Canis lupus familiaris: one gene and its partner. The protein of the gene in region 1 purifies or fractionates together with the protein of each later gene. This does not show direct contact. Links are inferred from orthologs where the notes say so. Each region holds a gene or a part of one and is shown on either strand. Other genes may lie near its edges.

The links. The genes of interacting proteins can lie anywhere in the genome.
Region 2: the proteins of SNW1 (region 1) and CDK9 purify together in Homo sapiens (affinity purification with mass spectrometry; 4 studies listed by BioGRID and IntAct, with this or other methods). This does not show direct contact. The link is inferred for Canis lupus familiaris from reciprocal best matches to the Homo sapiens genes SNW1 and CDK9.

What each region holds. Positions count from the first base shown.
Region 1 is NC_049229.1:50,826,046-50,833,691, reverse strand, and holds the start of SNW1 (SNW domain-containing protein 1), read left to right. Parts: upstream 1-3,038; 5' UTR 3,039-3,182; coding exon 3,183-3,196; exon of another isoform or gene 3,197-3,668; intron 3,669-7,646. UniProt on the Homo sapiens protein: Involved in pre-mRNA splicing as component of the spliceosome. As a component of the minor spliceosome, involved in the splicing of U12-type introns in pre-mRNAs.
Region 2 is NC_049230.1:55,702,638-55,708,695, forward strand, and holds CDK9 (cyclin-dependent kinase 9), read right to left. Parts: upstream 4,620-6,058; 5' UTR 4,552-4,619; coding exon 4,460-4,551; intron 4,001-4,459; coding exon 3,919-4,000; intron 3,118-3,918; coding exon 3,027-3,117; intron 2,681-3,026; coding exon 2,514-2,680; intron 2,392-2,513; coding exon 2,220-2,391; intron 2,063-2,219; coding exon 1,914-2,062; intron 1,427-1,913; coding exon 1,061-1,426; 3' UTR 507-1,060; downstream 1-506. UniProt on the Homo sapiens protein: Protein kinase involved in the regulation of transcription.

The sequences.
Region 1 (7,646 bases):
AGTATCATCAATTTACATACCATCTACCCCAGAAAGTCTCCAGCCCAGACATTTCTCCCCACACTTTGAACTTGTATATAAAACTGCTTACATGACATCTTTAGTTGGCTGTCTTTGCCAAATAACCATTTCAAATGTAATATGTTCAAAACCAAACTCCTGATCTTTTTCCACAAAAATGACCCTCTTGCAATTTTCCCATCTTAGTAAGTGGCAACTCCATCCCTCTAATTTCTCAGACAAAAACCTTTGGAGCCATCCTTGATTATTCTCTTTCATACTTCACATCAATTCTATCATTAAAATTTGTTAATCTTACTTTCAAAATAGATCCAGATTCCAATCTCTTCTTACCATCTCTACTACTACCTCCCTCCCTAAACCACCAGCATCTTTCCCCTGAATTATCACAAAAGCCACCAAACTGGTCTCCCTGTTCCCTTCCTTGTTTCTTGGAATCCATTTTCAACACAGCAGTCATAACAATCTTCTTAAAACACAAATCAGGTCACGTGTTTTCTCTGCTCAAAATCTCCAATGTGATTTCTACATACTGCAAAAGAGTGATCTCCCGAGATATAATAATAAGTGAAAAAAAGGAAGGTGAAGAAAAGTGTGTGTGGTATCTACCATTTGTCTGAGTAAGAGAAGCATAGAAATATATATGTATCTGTGTATATTTTTAAGTGAAAGGATAAACCATAAAAATTTTTTTCTAAGGTTTGTCTATAGGGAGAGGAGAGGAAGACAACAGAAGTGTCAGGGAAAGAATCTAGACTTCTCTAAATGTACTACCTATTTGGTAAATTTTGGCTTTGAAGCCATGCAACTGTTCCACAAAGCATTTTTTTTTAAATTTTATTTATTTATTCATGAGAGACACACAGAGAGACGCACAGACACAGGCAGAGGGAGGAGCAGGCTCCATGCAGGGAGCTCGACATGGGACTCAATCCCCGGTCTCCAGGACCACACCCTGGGCTGAAGGTGGAGCTAAACTGCTGAGCCACCTGGGCTGCCCACATAAAACATTTTTTTAAGCAACGCCTAAGAATCCAAAGCAAAAAGAAATAAACCTGACTATCAAATTAGTGGATCCCACAGAGAGGAACTACTGCAAGTCACGGTTTATTTATTTATTTTTAAGAAATCTCTACACCCAACATGGGGCTCAGCCTTACAACCCTGAGATCAAGAGTTGCGCGCTATACCAACTGAGCCAATCAGGTGCACCCCTCCCTAAATAACATTAAAGCAATGCAATTTAACTATACACACCTAGAGAGATATACTCTAAGGGCAAAAAGAATTATTTAAAAAAAAGCAGAAACTATTATCATTAAGCATATGTTTAGTAATCATTTTAGTAATGTTATTCTGAAACTATTTTATATATACAGTAGGGTAAAACAATTATGTTAATTTTGTTAATAAATTGTTATTGCCATATGTAATTATGTTAATGCCATTAGGCACCAAGATTTTCAGAAGAGATATGCATATAAAAATCAAAGTTAAGTAAAATCTGTGTAATCCTAAATTTGAGTTGAAAAATATTAATGTAAATGCATGGTGCATTTTCTCAAAAAATATGTGTGTATATCCAAATTTTTTAGTTCTGTTGACTAAAGAGGCTTACAAACAATAATCAACCCAGTAACAATGAATATTTATTTGTAGCATCCAGATTGTTTTCTCTAAAATATCGCTTTCCCACTTAAAGGAGGGCTTCTTGGAGAAATGACTGATTCCAAGTCATTCCAAATGACTTGGAATCAGTATATCTAGAAAAGTACTAGATGAATCTACAACATCTTGTCACACCAGAAATTTGAGTCACCCTGGGTAGTGGATTCTGCTTCTGCTGCTCAAAGTAGGGTGTTTGGTTCAGGACAATTCAAAGAGCTGTACACTTACGGTGTATGCATCTTTCTCTATGTGTCCCATACTACAACTAAAAATTTGTTATCTACTTTTTGTCGTGGAAGATGTCAAACGTGTTAGTATAATAAACATCCAATTCCCCATTATCCAGCTTCAACGGTGATCAGAAATGGCTATTCCCATTTCATCTATACTCCACCCACTTCCCTCTCTCCAATATTTGTAAGCAAATTTCATTTATCCTATCAGTTTGTCAAAGATTATGGTTAGGGGCTCAGTCCGTCAAACCTCTGCCTTCACCGCAGGTCATGGTCCCAGGTTCCTGGGATCTAGCCCAAGATCCAGCCCAGTGTGGGGCTCCCTGCTCAGGGAGAAACCTGCTTTTCTCTCTCCCCCAGTACCCACCCCCTATCTTGCTAGTTCTCTCTCTCAAATAAATAAATAGAATCTTTAAAAAAAAAAAAAAAAAGATTATGTCTTGGGACGCCTAGGTGGTTCAGCGGGTTGAGCATCTGCCTTTGGCTCAGGGCGTGATCCTGGAGACCCGGGATCGAGTCCCAAGTCCGGCTCCCTGCGTGGAGCCTGCTTCTCCCTCTGCCTGTGTCTCTGCCTCTCACTCCATGTCTCTCATGAATAAATAAATAAAATCTTAAAAAAAGATTATGTCTAATCCATAATCTACGTTAAACACATCGTCTAAACACGCACATACATAAAAGCATACATAATACACAAAAGAAGTGCTGTAAAGGCAACTTACCGAGGATCACACCAGACCTCCCCAGGACAGTGTTTTGGGGGTGGGGTGTGGAGGTAGGGGGCAGAGTTCAAAGAAAAGTTTCGAGTGTGAGTATTTTTGGAGCGTTCCCAAACTCTCCCTTCGACAGTCTCCCGATTTCCCATTGTTTTAAAACCCTGTCACCCTTTTATTTAACGTTGCCATTCCCAGGATACTCTTCTTGTGTTGGGGATGACTACACGGGGAATGAGACTGAGTGGGGAATAAAATAAAGCGGTTTAAAAGGCACCTCACCTCCGTTATTTTGGAAGAATAGGGAACGCCCTATTCCGTCACAGGGTACCAGCGATGCATCTGCCTTAACTGAAGCCTTAGTCTCATGATAACCGCGCGGTCGGCTTAGGACAGAATCGCACTCTCTTGTCCAAAGAACTACGAATCCCAGAAGGCCGTTCGGCCGAGGCGCCTGCGCATCGCGTGCTCCTTCCTTTCCCCTCCTCGTCCAGGGGAAAGACCCGCCCCGCGGTGCTGTCGCTCGCGCTGGAAGAAGCGGAAGAAGATGGCGCTCACCAGGTGGGTTGTTGATGGGGGTCCTCGATACGGAAGGGTCTGGGAGTACCCACGTTTTTTATTTCTCTGCCCACTGTCTCCGGGCGGTGACCTGGCGCGGGGCACAGAGCGACATGGGCTGGGACCGCGGCTAGGCCCTCCTGCAGGCCTCCGGGGCGACTAGGCCTCACGGAAGCTGGGGTCTTTCCTCAGCGGTTTCCCGGGTCGAGTTCGTCCCCTCACGAGGGCCGAGAGCCTTGGCGCGACAAATAGTTCTCCGGCCTCGGATGCCAAGGAGTCGCATCCCGGGGTTGTGGAGAGCGCTCCGAGCGTCCGGTCCGCGCCTCGGGCGGGCGCGGTGGGGATGTGGAGGGCAGTGGCTTATTTGTCTGGACGAAGTGAAGCGGCGGGAGCCGACGAGCCGGCTTTACCGCCGTGTGTCTGCCGAAGTCTCGTCTGTGCCCCGAAACCAGGATTCCTGAAGAAAAAAAAAAAAAAAAAAAAGATGTGAGGTGAGGGGCCCGGCACCGAACACAGATCTTTTTTTTTTTTTTTAATTGGCCACTGTCTACTAGTAATGAGCCGCTGCTCCGCACTTTTAACTTTGGACCTTAGAATTTCTTACGTAGATAGAACCACTTCAGATTTTTGCTGTTCTCGGTTGCCTTGGTAACCGCGTGTAAAGTGGTCCCCGCCTTTGGGGGGGGGGGGGGAGAGAGATTCCGAGGAGTTACATAACTCCTGCTAGTCCGCGACCTGCTGCCCCATCTGAGAAGAAAAACTTCCCGTATGCGGACGCAAGCAGGAAAAGTTGAGTTGTCAAAGATGCCTGTGAGGGAAATCGTTTTTGGGACATCGGCTTGAGCTCCCTAAACATGCTTGATTCTCCTCACGCTTCTTTTTCCTGGCTGATGGCAGTTATGGATCCCACAAAACGTTTTAATCAGAAAGTTTTTGGGGGGGAATTAATTTTGGGTGCCTTGCTCTCTCTATATCCTAGGGCCTGTGTGTATACACACACACATACACACAAAAAGCCACCTAACAGTCTTTGCAGGGAAGGTAGGGTCCAAGGCATACAGATACGGAAGAAAGAACAGCACAGAATGCTCACTTGTGTGGTAGTAACCTTAAGTGCAAAAAGAATTAGACTGAATAAGTTGGATGAACTAAGGAGTTCAATTTAGTAAGCAGCAAACATTTGAGTGCGCCTCCAGGTGGGAGGCACTGTGGCAAAGATTCCCAGGGTTGTGAGGGAAGGTATTTGTGGAAAAGGACACAGGGAAAATAACAGATCTTGTGGGTTATTGTGGGCTTAAAATTGCAGCGGCAGAATGCAGTCCTTAAATGGCTAGTCTTGGAGGCTACATAGTTTTCTGATTTCAGTGAGCTCTGGTTGATTTGATTGCAGGTGAAGTGTTACCTTATCTCCAAGACCTACCAAGGATTACTTAACGGCAGGGACTTAACATATTGATGTGTTGCAGTATTGGTGTCACCAGTTATTGTGACTAACTAAAGATTTGAGGTCATACTGATTTAGTCCTCTAAATGCAACTGTATTTGGGGTTATGTATCTAATAATATTACTTGCATTTAATATGCTTTATTTGGTAAAGGGGAAAGGGTAGACCAAGGTGTCTCAACAGTGGGCAGTCCCCGTGGCTCAGCGGTTTAGCACCGCTCAGCCCAGGGCGTGATCCTGGAGACTTGGGATCAAGTCCCATGTCCCGCTCCCTGCATGGAGCCTGCTTCTCCCTCTGCCTGTCTCTCTCTCTCTCTCTCTGTCTGTCTTGAATAAATAAAATCTTAAAAAAAATAAAAATAAAAGATGTCTCAACAGTGGCACTGTTGAGGTTTTGGACTGGATGATTCATTCTGGTGTGGGGCTGTCCTGTGTATAGTAGTAGGATGTTTAGCAGCATCTTTGGCCTCTATACATTAGATGCCAGAGGCACCTCCCTCCCCTTCACCCATTCCCTATCCCCTAAGTCTTGACAATCATGTCTCCAGACATTATCAAATACCTACATTGTAGTTATTTTGCCACCCAGTTGAGAACCACTGAGGTAGACTTTCTGCTTACATATACAGCCCACAGCCCACTATGTACCCCTTTCCCCTATCCTGCCACCACAGGAGTGTGCCTCTTGTGGGAATGTCATCTTTTACAAGGAAAAGCAAAATTAAGACCCTCTGGAAGGCTAGAGTATGTTCAGACCCTAATCCAGGCCAAGTTACTTGTTTACTGTATCGTCTGGACCCTTTGATTTGGCAGGCTGCCTGCCTTTGGATCATCTTAGTAATCAGTTCTTACAGCAGAAGGTAAAGAATAGAGAAAATAATAAGTATTTTGGCTTCTTTACACTATCTTTGTATCCTTCCTATGAATTGGGTATATGAGTTATACTGAATAGAATTATGGTAAAAGCCCAAAACTTTTGACTCCAGTCCTCCATCCATTCATTCATCATTCAACAAATACTTGTTGAAGATCTACCATGTGCCAGACACTGTGCTGGTTTTACAGTATTAAATCAGTGCTGGTTTTACAGTATTAAATCAGTCTGGCAAACTCCTTTATTTTCGAAGAGCTTACAGTCTAGGAAAGGCAAACTACTTATCTATCTGTATGTAAACAAATCAATAATGCAATATCAGGTAGTGATTAGGAATAAAATAAAGATAAAAGGACAGAGAATGACTCAAAATGTGGAGTGGGGTGGTGGTGTTTTGATTGAGATGGTCAGAAAACAGCTCTGGGGAGGTATAATTGAGCAGAGAAATCAATGCTAAGAAACAAGGACTAAAAGATCTAGGGTGGGGGCACCGGCTGTCTCAGTAGAGCATGAGACTTGATCTTGGGGTTGTAAATTCAAGCCCCATGTTGGATGTAGAAATTACTTAATAAATCTTTAAGAATGAATGAATGAGCGATGCCAGGGTGGCTCAGTGGTTGAGCATCTGCCTTTGGCTCACAGCATGATCCCAGTTGTGGGATCGAGTCCCACACCGGGCTCCCTGAGAGAAGCCTGCTTCTCCCTCTGCCTATGTCTCTGTGTCTCTCATGAATAAATAAATAAATAAAATATTTTTTTTTAAATTTTCTTAAGAGTTTACTGTAAAAGCACTGTAGGAAAGGATGTGCTGTGAGCTAGACAATGCCTAAAGAGTTAGGGATGAAAGAAGCTGAAAGCATGATTCCTGCAAGTTTCTGGTGAGAAAAAGAAAGGTAAATGAGTAGATAATTCTAAAACAGTAAGACAGATTATAATAGTGGTATATAGGGGGTCTTGTGGGAGCATGGTAGGTGCAACAAACCCAAATTGGGGGGAATTGTGGAACAGATCCAAATAATCAAGTATGTATTGAATAATATTTAGACACTGTGTGAAGGGGGTTCATCGATTTTCTCATTTAGTACTTAGAGCAACTCTGTGAGGTAGGTCATCTTTTGATCTGCCTCTACAGATGAGAAAACAGGTTCAGAGAGGTAGGTAACTTATCTGGGTTACTACCTTGCATAGGTAGGATTTGAACTCTGGGTTCTTATCCATCATAGTACCCAACTCTAGAATAGATCCCTCTTGTGTATAGCCCTCTGTATTTTTTCCTTCAGCTTTAATACAATTTGTGATTGTGGATTTGTATGAGTAATTGTCTCTCCTCTGCAAGACGTAACCGGTCTTTCTCAGTTTATAGTCTCACTGCCTACCTAGCACAGTACCTGCACCCAAGTGCTCAATAAATATTTTGAATAAATAAGTTCTGTTGCTTACTGAAATATGCTTACTAACCAAGAATTACAAAGAAACCTTAACTTTTCCATTAAATGTATTATTTATTACTGGAATCCTTTTGTGGTACTTTGGGATATCTCTGTAGTAACATTTATCACACTTCAAAGTTGCTAAGAATTGCTTGGTAGAAAGGCTGCTTTGATTAAAGAGTAACAAAGTACATATTTAGGATTTCTGCTTTGAATCTTTGACTTCCTAAGTTTTAAACTGCATTCTAAATTAGATACCTTTGGTAAAACACACTTAAATATGCAGTTTATATTTTCTTTCTTTTGTCCACCTCTTTGTTACATTCAGTGCTAATCCTTGTTTTTTTGTATTGATGCTAAAATAGTTAAAAGTAAGAAGCATAAGAGTAAAGCAGTTAAAAATAAGGAGTATGAAAGTAGGAAAGACACTAGTGCAACTGTATATTGGACAGTTGGCCACTGGTAACTGAGAATGTTTCCTTGTTATAAGAAAGGAAACGTAGAAGCATAAAAACTCAATAGTTTATTTATTATATGAAATACTTATTAATTTTTTATTTGGGCATCATTTGCCTGCATCCTAGTCAAACGTGTTTTACTGTATATCTCTGAGTACTTATTTCTTTCCAGACAAAATAAAATGACTGATATTTAATACTGCCATAAATCATTGACATGTTTGACCTGCTAAAGAGAAAAAAGTAT
Region 2 (6,058 bases), on another chromosome or scaffold:
TGCCTCCCCTTGGCCACCAACTACTCAGCAGCCTGAAGGACCTTTGCAAGTTACAGATCTAACTCTTGTCACTTTGATCGAGAGCCTTCTGCAGCCTTCTGTGCTCATGAGTCAAGGTTGAGCACTTCTGTCAGCCATGGGACATGGATTCACCATTGCAGATGCAGCTCACAGCAGGCCCTCCCCAGTTCCCTCTCTCTGGGGAACTAAGATCCTGCCTCATGTGTCTTTACTCTCCCTTGGACACCAAGTGGACAGGGAGAGCAAAAGAGCATCACAGCACCTGCTTTTGCAGGAGCATGACAACAGTGTTCTGGAAGGTACACACACACTCACACAAACCCTCCAACAGACAAAAGTACTCTGCAATTATGTCTGGGGACATGAACTGGGATGAAGAAAAGAGTCAAGACTTGACAAATCCAATCTCGATGGTTAGACCCAATGTGCCAGCTACAGGGTTAAGAGCTGGGGGGGTCTGAACACAGAACACAGCACATAGCCACTTACTGGAAAAAAAAAAAAAGTCAACTTTAATTATAACTGACCAAACTGCGTCCAGGAATGTCTCCAAACTGAACAAAAGAAACACGATAAAATTCTCTATTGAAGAAACCAAGTTTTTGCCAACCCCAGGCTTCTGAGGGTTGGGCCAAGAGTAGCCCATTCCTGAGGCTGCTTCTGTCCCCCACACAAGTTTCTCATCCCGAGAGGAGGGCTGGCAACAGGCAAGGGACCTGTCCCTTCCTCCCATCATGCTCAGAAAGTCACTGGTGGGGTGTGCCTCTCCTCCTATCCCATTCTTGCGTGAAAGTAAACGGAGAACCTTTGGGCATCATCTTGAAAGCCAGGGAACAAGGCGAGGGGCCTCAGCGCCCTCCTGGACTTTCAGCCAAAGCTTTGCTCCAGTCCGCTCAGCGGGCATTCCCAGTGCCCAGGGTGGGGAGTAAATGAAATAAGCACTAGAGAAAACTCAAATGCCCCACAATCTCCACAATGCAAGTCACAGAGCAGAAAAAGAAATGAAACTGCCCTAATGAAAAGCGTGGGCAGCCGGCCCTCAGAAGACACGCTCGAATTCCGTCTGGTTGGTGGTGGCAGGATTGCGGCTCTGGTTGGTGGATTGCTGGGTGATTTGACTGCCCTTCCGGCGTGGCGGCGCCAGATACTCGAACATGGACGTCAGGTGGGTAGAGAGCATGCCCTTGAGATCCGAGGGCATGGGGTCCGACCAGAAGAAGTCATGGTTGAGGGCGTCATCACTGTCGATGCGCTGTGCAGGATCCAGCACCAGCAACTTGTCGATGAGGTCCAGCGCGTAGGGGTCACGCACATAGGCCTTCAGCCTGTCCTTCACCTTCCGTTTCTGGCCCTTCACCAGGTCCAGCTTCTCAAAGAGCTCATACTTGTCCACATTGGGCCATACCTGGGCAGGAGGCACGGGAAGAAGACGGTCTTAATTCAGGGGGTGTGTGGCTTGTCCCCTGGTTAGGCACCCGAAGGGACTACAGCTTCTCCTTTCAGATGCTCCCAGACCACCCATGGAGGGTGAATTTGACCTCTCCAAGGTAGAAGCAGCAGTGACCACATGTCTGGCACACACCAAGCGCCAGGCCCTTTTACGTGGTCATCTGAAATATGTCCACCAAGCCTGATACAGGCATAGTTGTTTCACGGAAGAGAAACTCAGCTCCGAGGTGAGGGATGCAAACGCCCTCCCCAGGGCCATGAACTGTGATGGAAGTGAGACTCAAGCATAGCCCATGCGACTCTAAAGAGCAGCCCCTGTCCCTCCACCAGCCACCTCTCCAGAACTTTCCTGCTATTTCACTCCCCACTCCTCCCTTGCCAGGAGGACTTCTGGATCTCTGCGTCCTGTGGGGACCAGGGGCCCAGGCAGCCTGGCCACGCACCTCAGGGGTGATGGAGCCACAGAGCTGGCTGATGAGGGCAAGCTGGTGTTGCTCGGTGTTGCCCTGCATGATAGGGCTGCGGGTCCACATCTCGGCCATGATGCACCCAGCACCCCACAGGTCAATGGGGGGGCCGTAGTCCCGCTCCCCTGGGAAGAAGAGCGCACCAGGAGGGCCCCTTGAGCCCGAGGGCCTCCTGAGACGCAATGCCCCAGGGCCGGCGGCTCAAGAAGCCCTGGCAGTGGGGGACTGAGGCCGGGTAAGTGCCCAGCCCCTGCCCCACTCCGCCCGCTCGGGAGTCCTCACCGAGCAACAGCTCCGGAGGCCGGTACCAGAGCGTCACCACACGGTTGGTATAGCGATTGGGCTGGCTGTTCTTGGCCAGGCTGAAGGCCCGGGCCAGCCCAAAGTCGGCCAGCTTCAGAACCCCATCGCGAGTGATGAGCACATTAGCTGCCTTCATGTCCCTGTGCAGGATCTGCAGGAAGCGCAAGAGGGCTCAATCAGGTTTCCAAGGGGAACCCTCAGTCGCACCCACCCAGCGGTGGGAGCCGAGGCCCACCCCAGCCCGGGTCTCTCTTACCCCATGCTGACCCCCACCTTGTTTCTGTGGATATAGTAGAGGCCGTTGAGCAACATCTGCATGACCTTCTTGATCTCAGACAGTGTGAACTTGACCAAGACATTGCTCAGCAGCCCAGCAAGATCGTGCTCGCAGAAGTCAAACACTAGGTATATACTGCCTTTGCAGCGGTTATAGGGGGAAGCTGGGAGGGAAGAATGGGGGAGGAGTAAGAAAAAGAAAGTAAAAAACCCCACGTGCAACTCATTTCCCCACACAGCTTCTACCCCTCCAGCCCGTGGACACTGGGATATTCGGCTGTGCCTTCCTTCACTGGAAAACTATTTCCTGAGTGCCTCCTCTGGGCTGGGTGCTGTGGCAGGCCCTCGAGGAGCAACAGCTACGATGGAAGGACCCAAGAGCAGTCACAGTCGGTTTGTCTGGGTTAAGAAGAGGCAATTTAGGTGTGTCCACTTCCAACTTTGCAAAGCCTTAGGCAGTAAGCCTCATTTTCCCCATCTGTAAAGGGGGGCAGGAGCCAAAGAACCTACCTTTGGTTCGACAGATCTCAATTAAGTTGACCACATTCTCGTGTTTCAGAAGCTGGAGGATCTTGATTTCCCGCAAAGCCGTAATGGGGAACTGGGTAGGAGAAAGGCAAGAGGGGGCCTGAGGTGAGCGAGTCAACTATAGACCAATGAACAGACCAATGAACAACCGTGTGGTCCAGATCAAGGGGCACAGGTGCAGCAAACGAGTAAGGTCCCGGGCTCTGACATCATTTCAGATGTCTTAGCTGTAAAATGGGTGTAAAAATAGTATGTGCCCCTCAATGAGTTGCTCTGAGACAATGAACTGAAACAGTGGGACTTAATACCTACACACTTCACTACTCGTCACTAAATAAATGTTCCACAGTTTCTTCAATATTTAAGTTTTAGCTCTATACCTGTATTTAACTTACTAGGTGGAAACAAACAGCTATTTAAGGAAATGTCCTTGCTAAGCAGGTCTCTGGGAAGCTGGACTAGGGCTACAATGAGGCAAGGGAGGGGACTGCTCCTTTTCAACTGAGTACCAGCCACTCCCTTAAAACCACCAAGTGGAATTTCTTTCCGCCTTATGCAAAATGAATGCTAAGGAAACCGTGTTTAAAGGCTTCCTAACTTCAGGAACTAAGGCACACTCTGCAGGCATGAGCTCCCCCTCCTGGCCCCAACCGTATTTACCTAAGAGTGGGATATCAAAAGCTCTAAAACATTTGAATTAAAAAATTCAATTTGGAAGCCAAATTCCCCGAATACGGAAATTGCCTAACTACCCCCCCCCCCCCAACACACAGACACACAGGTTCTCCAGACGAGAGCCCTAGCAGAAGCAGGGTGGAAACCCAACCCCGAGCCCAGGGGAGCTGGCAGGCCCGCCCACCCGGCCCATACTCACCCCCTCCTTCTCGTTCTCCATCAGCACTTTCTTCAGAGCCACCTTTTTGCCGGTCTTACGGTGCTTTGCCTTAAATACCTCCCTGCAGGCCGAGAGGGAGACCCAAGAGGTTTTATCAGGCCGTTTCTGCAGGGCCCGCCCCTCCCCCACCAGAGGAGGGGGGCAGAAAAAAGGGATTCCCCGGGCGGGGCTGGGCCGGGGACCCAGGGCACTGCCCTACCTTGCCACCCGCTATCTGCGGAGCTTCGAGCCTCTACTTCCTCCCCTCAGTCTCCTCACTCAGGCGTCTCTCGGAGAGCCCGCTCCCACCACTGGCTCCTCTCCGTAACCCCTCCCCGCCCCCCATCACAGGCCTCAGGCTCCTCCCCGCCAGCCGGCTCGGTCAGGCCCAGGCGGGCCGCAGCGCGGCCTAGCAAAACCAGGGGACACGTCTGGCGCTCATGGCCTTCCCGACCACCTCGGGCCCGGCCCTGGGCATCGTGACGTCGGATTTGAGCGGTGCAGGCCCAGAGCGCCTGGTCCCCCGGGGGCGCAGCCTTACCCGAAGGTGCCTTGGCCGATCTTAGCGAGCTTCTCATATTTGGACACCTCATCACAAAAGGGACACTCCACCGAGTCGTACTGCTTTGCCATGGCCGCCTCCAGCGCGCCGCCGCCGCCGCCCCCAGCCGCCGCCGCCGCCGCTGCTCCCGCTCCGGGTCCCGCCGCCGTGCTCCAGGCCCCTCCGCGGCCGCGCCACTTCCGCCTCCACGGCCACTTCCGGCCTCGCGGCGCCGACCCCGCCTCTTCCGTCCGCCGCCCGCCGCCAGGCCCCCTGGGACTTGTAGTTCCCGGGAGGCCAGGAGCAGCCGGAGCTGCAGAGGCGCCTCCGCCGCCGCCGCTGCCCCCGCCTCCGCCGCCGCCACTGTTGGCGGCTGCCCCGATCGGGGGCGCGGGGAGCCGGGGCGCCGGGGCTGGGGCTCGGGGCGGTGCGTCCCGCTGCATCGGCCCGGGCCGCCGCTGCTGCCGGAGCCGCTGCCGCTCTGGCGCCCGATCCGGGGCCAGCCGCAGTGCCCTGCTCCTCCTCCTCCGACGGCGCCGCCTCCGCCGGGCTGCGCGGGGCGGCGAGCGGGGGGGTGGCCCCCGAGCCGCGGCCTGGGGTCTCCCTGGCCGGGCCCGGGCCCGGGGCGGCCGGGCAAGGGGGCGAGATGGGAAGAGCCGACGAGGAGGTGGCCCGAGAGCCCGGGAGGGGGCGCGTTATAAAGGGGGAGGTGCCCTGGCCTCGCCCTCCCCTCCCCCTCCGCCCGCCCCCCTCCCTCCTCCCTCCCACCCTCCGCGGCCGCACCTGCCGCCGCCGCCGCCGCCGCCGCCGCCGCCGCCGCCGCCGCCGCCCGCTGTCCGCCGGCCGCCCTCGGCGCGTCACCGCCCGCGGCCCCTCCTCCGCCTTCGGAGGTGGGGCCCCGAGCTCGACACCTGGCTGCGGAGCGCTTTGTCGCGTGCCTCAGTTTACCCCCCCATGCTAGCTGCCGCGGAGAGCCCTCTCCCCGGCTCGGAGTGCCCCTCCGCTGGGAAAGGCGGGAGGCGCCGAGGGAGCGGCCTCCGGTCCTGGGAGGAGAGAACGGCCCCCGCCGCCGCCTCCCCAGGCCCCAGCCGCCCGCCGTTGACATGGCAACCGACGGCCGCTAGGGGGCGCGGCGACACTGGAGACGGCGAGCGAGCAACGCCCGGGCCTTCCTGCCCTGGACCCCCAATTTTCTGGGAGGAAGGGATGAGACCCGCGGGAGCCCTATGCCCACCCAGCTGCGTCCGAGCGGGTCAGTCCCGGGTCAGTAATCACAAAAATGGCTAGCATTTGCTCAGAACTCCTGTGTGTTCAGGAATCGCTGGGCATTCCTGCTGAATCCTGCTGAATCCTCAATCAGGCGCCCCATGGGCAGGTTAACTAGCCCATTTTACAGAAGAGGGCATTGAGGTTCAGAGTGGTGAGGTCATTTGCCCAAGGTCACAGAGTGACAGCGCTGTGACTGGAACCTGGTCTGTCTGATTCTTTTTTTTTTTTTTTTTTTTAAAGATTTTATTTATTTATGATAGTCACAGAGAGAGAGAGAGAGAGGCAGAGACATAGGCAGAGGGAGAAGCAGGCTCCATGCACCGGGAGCCT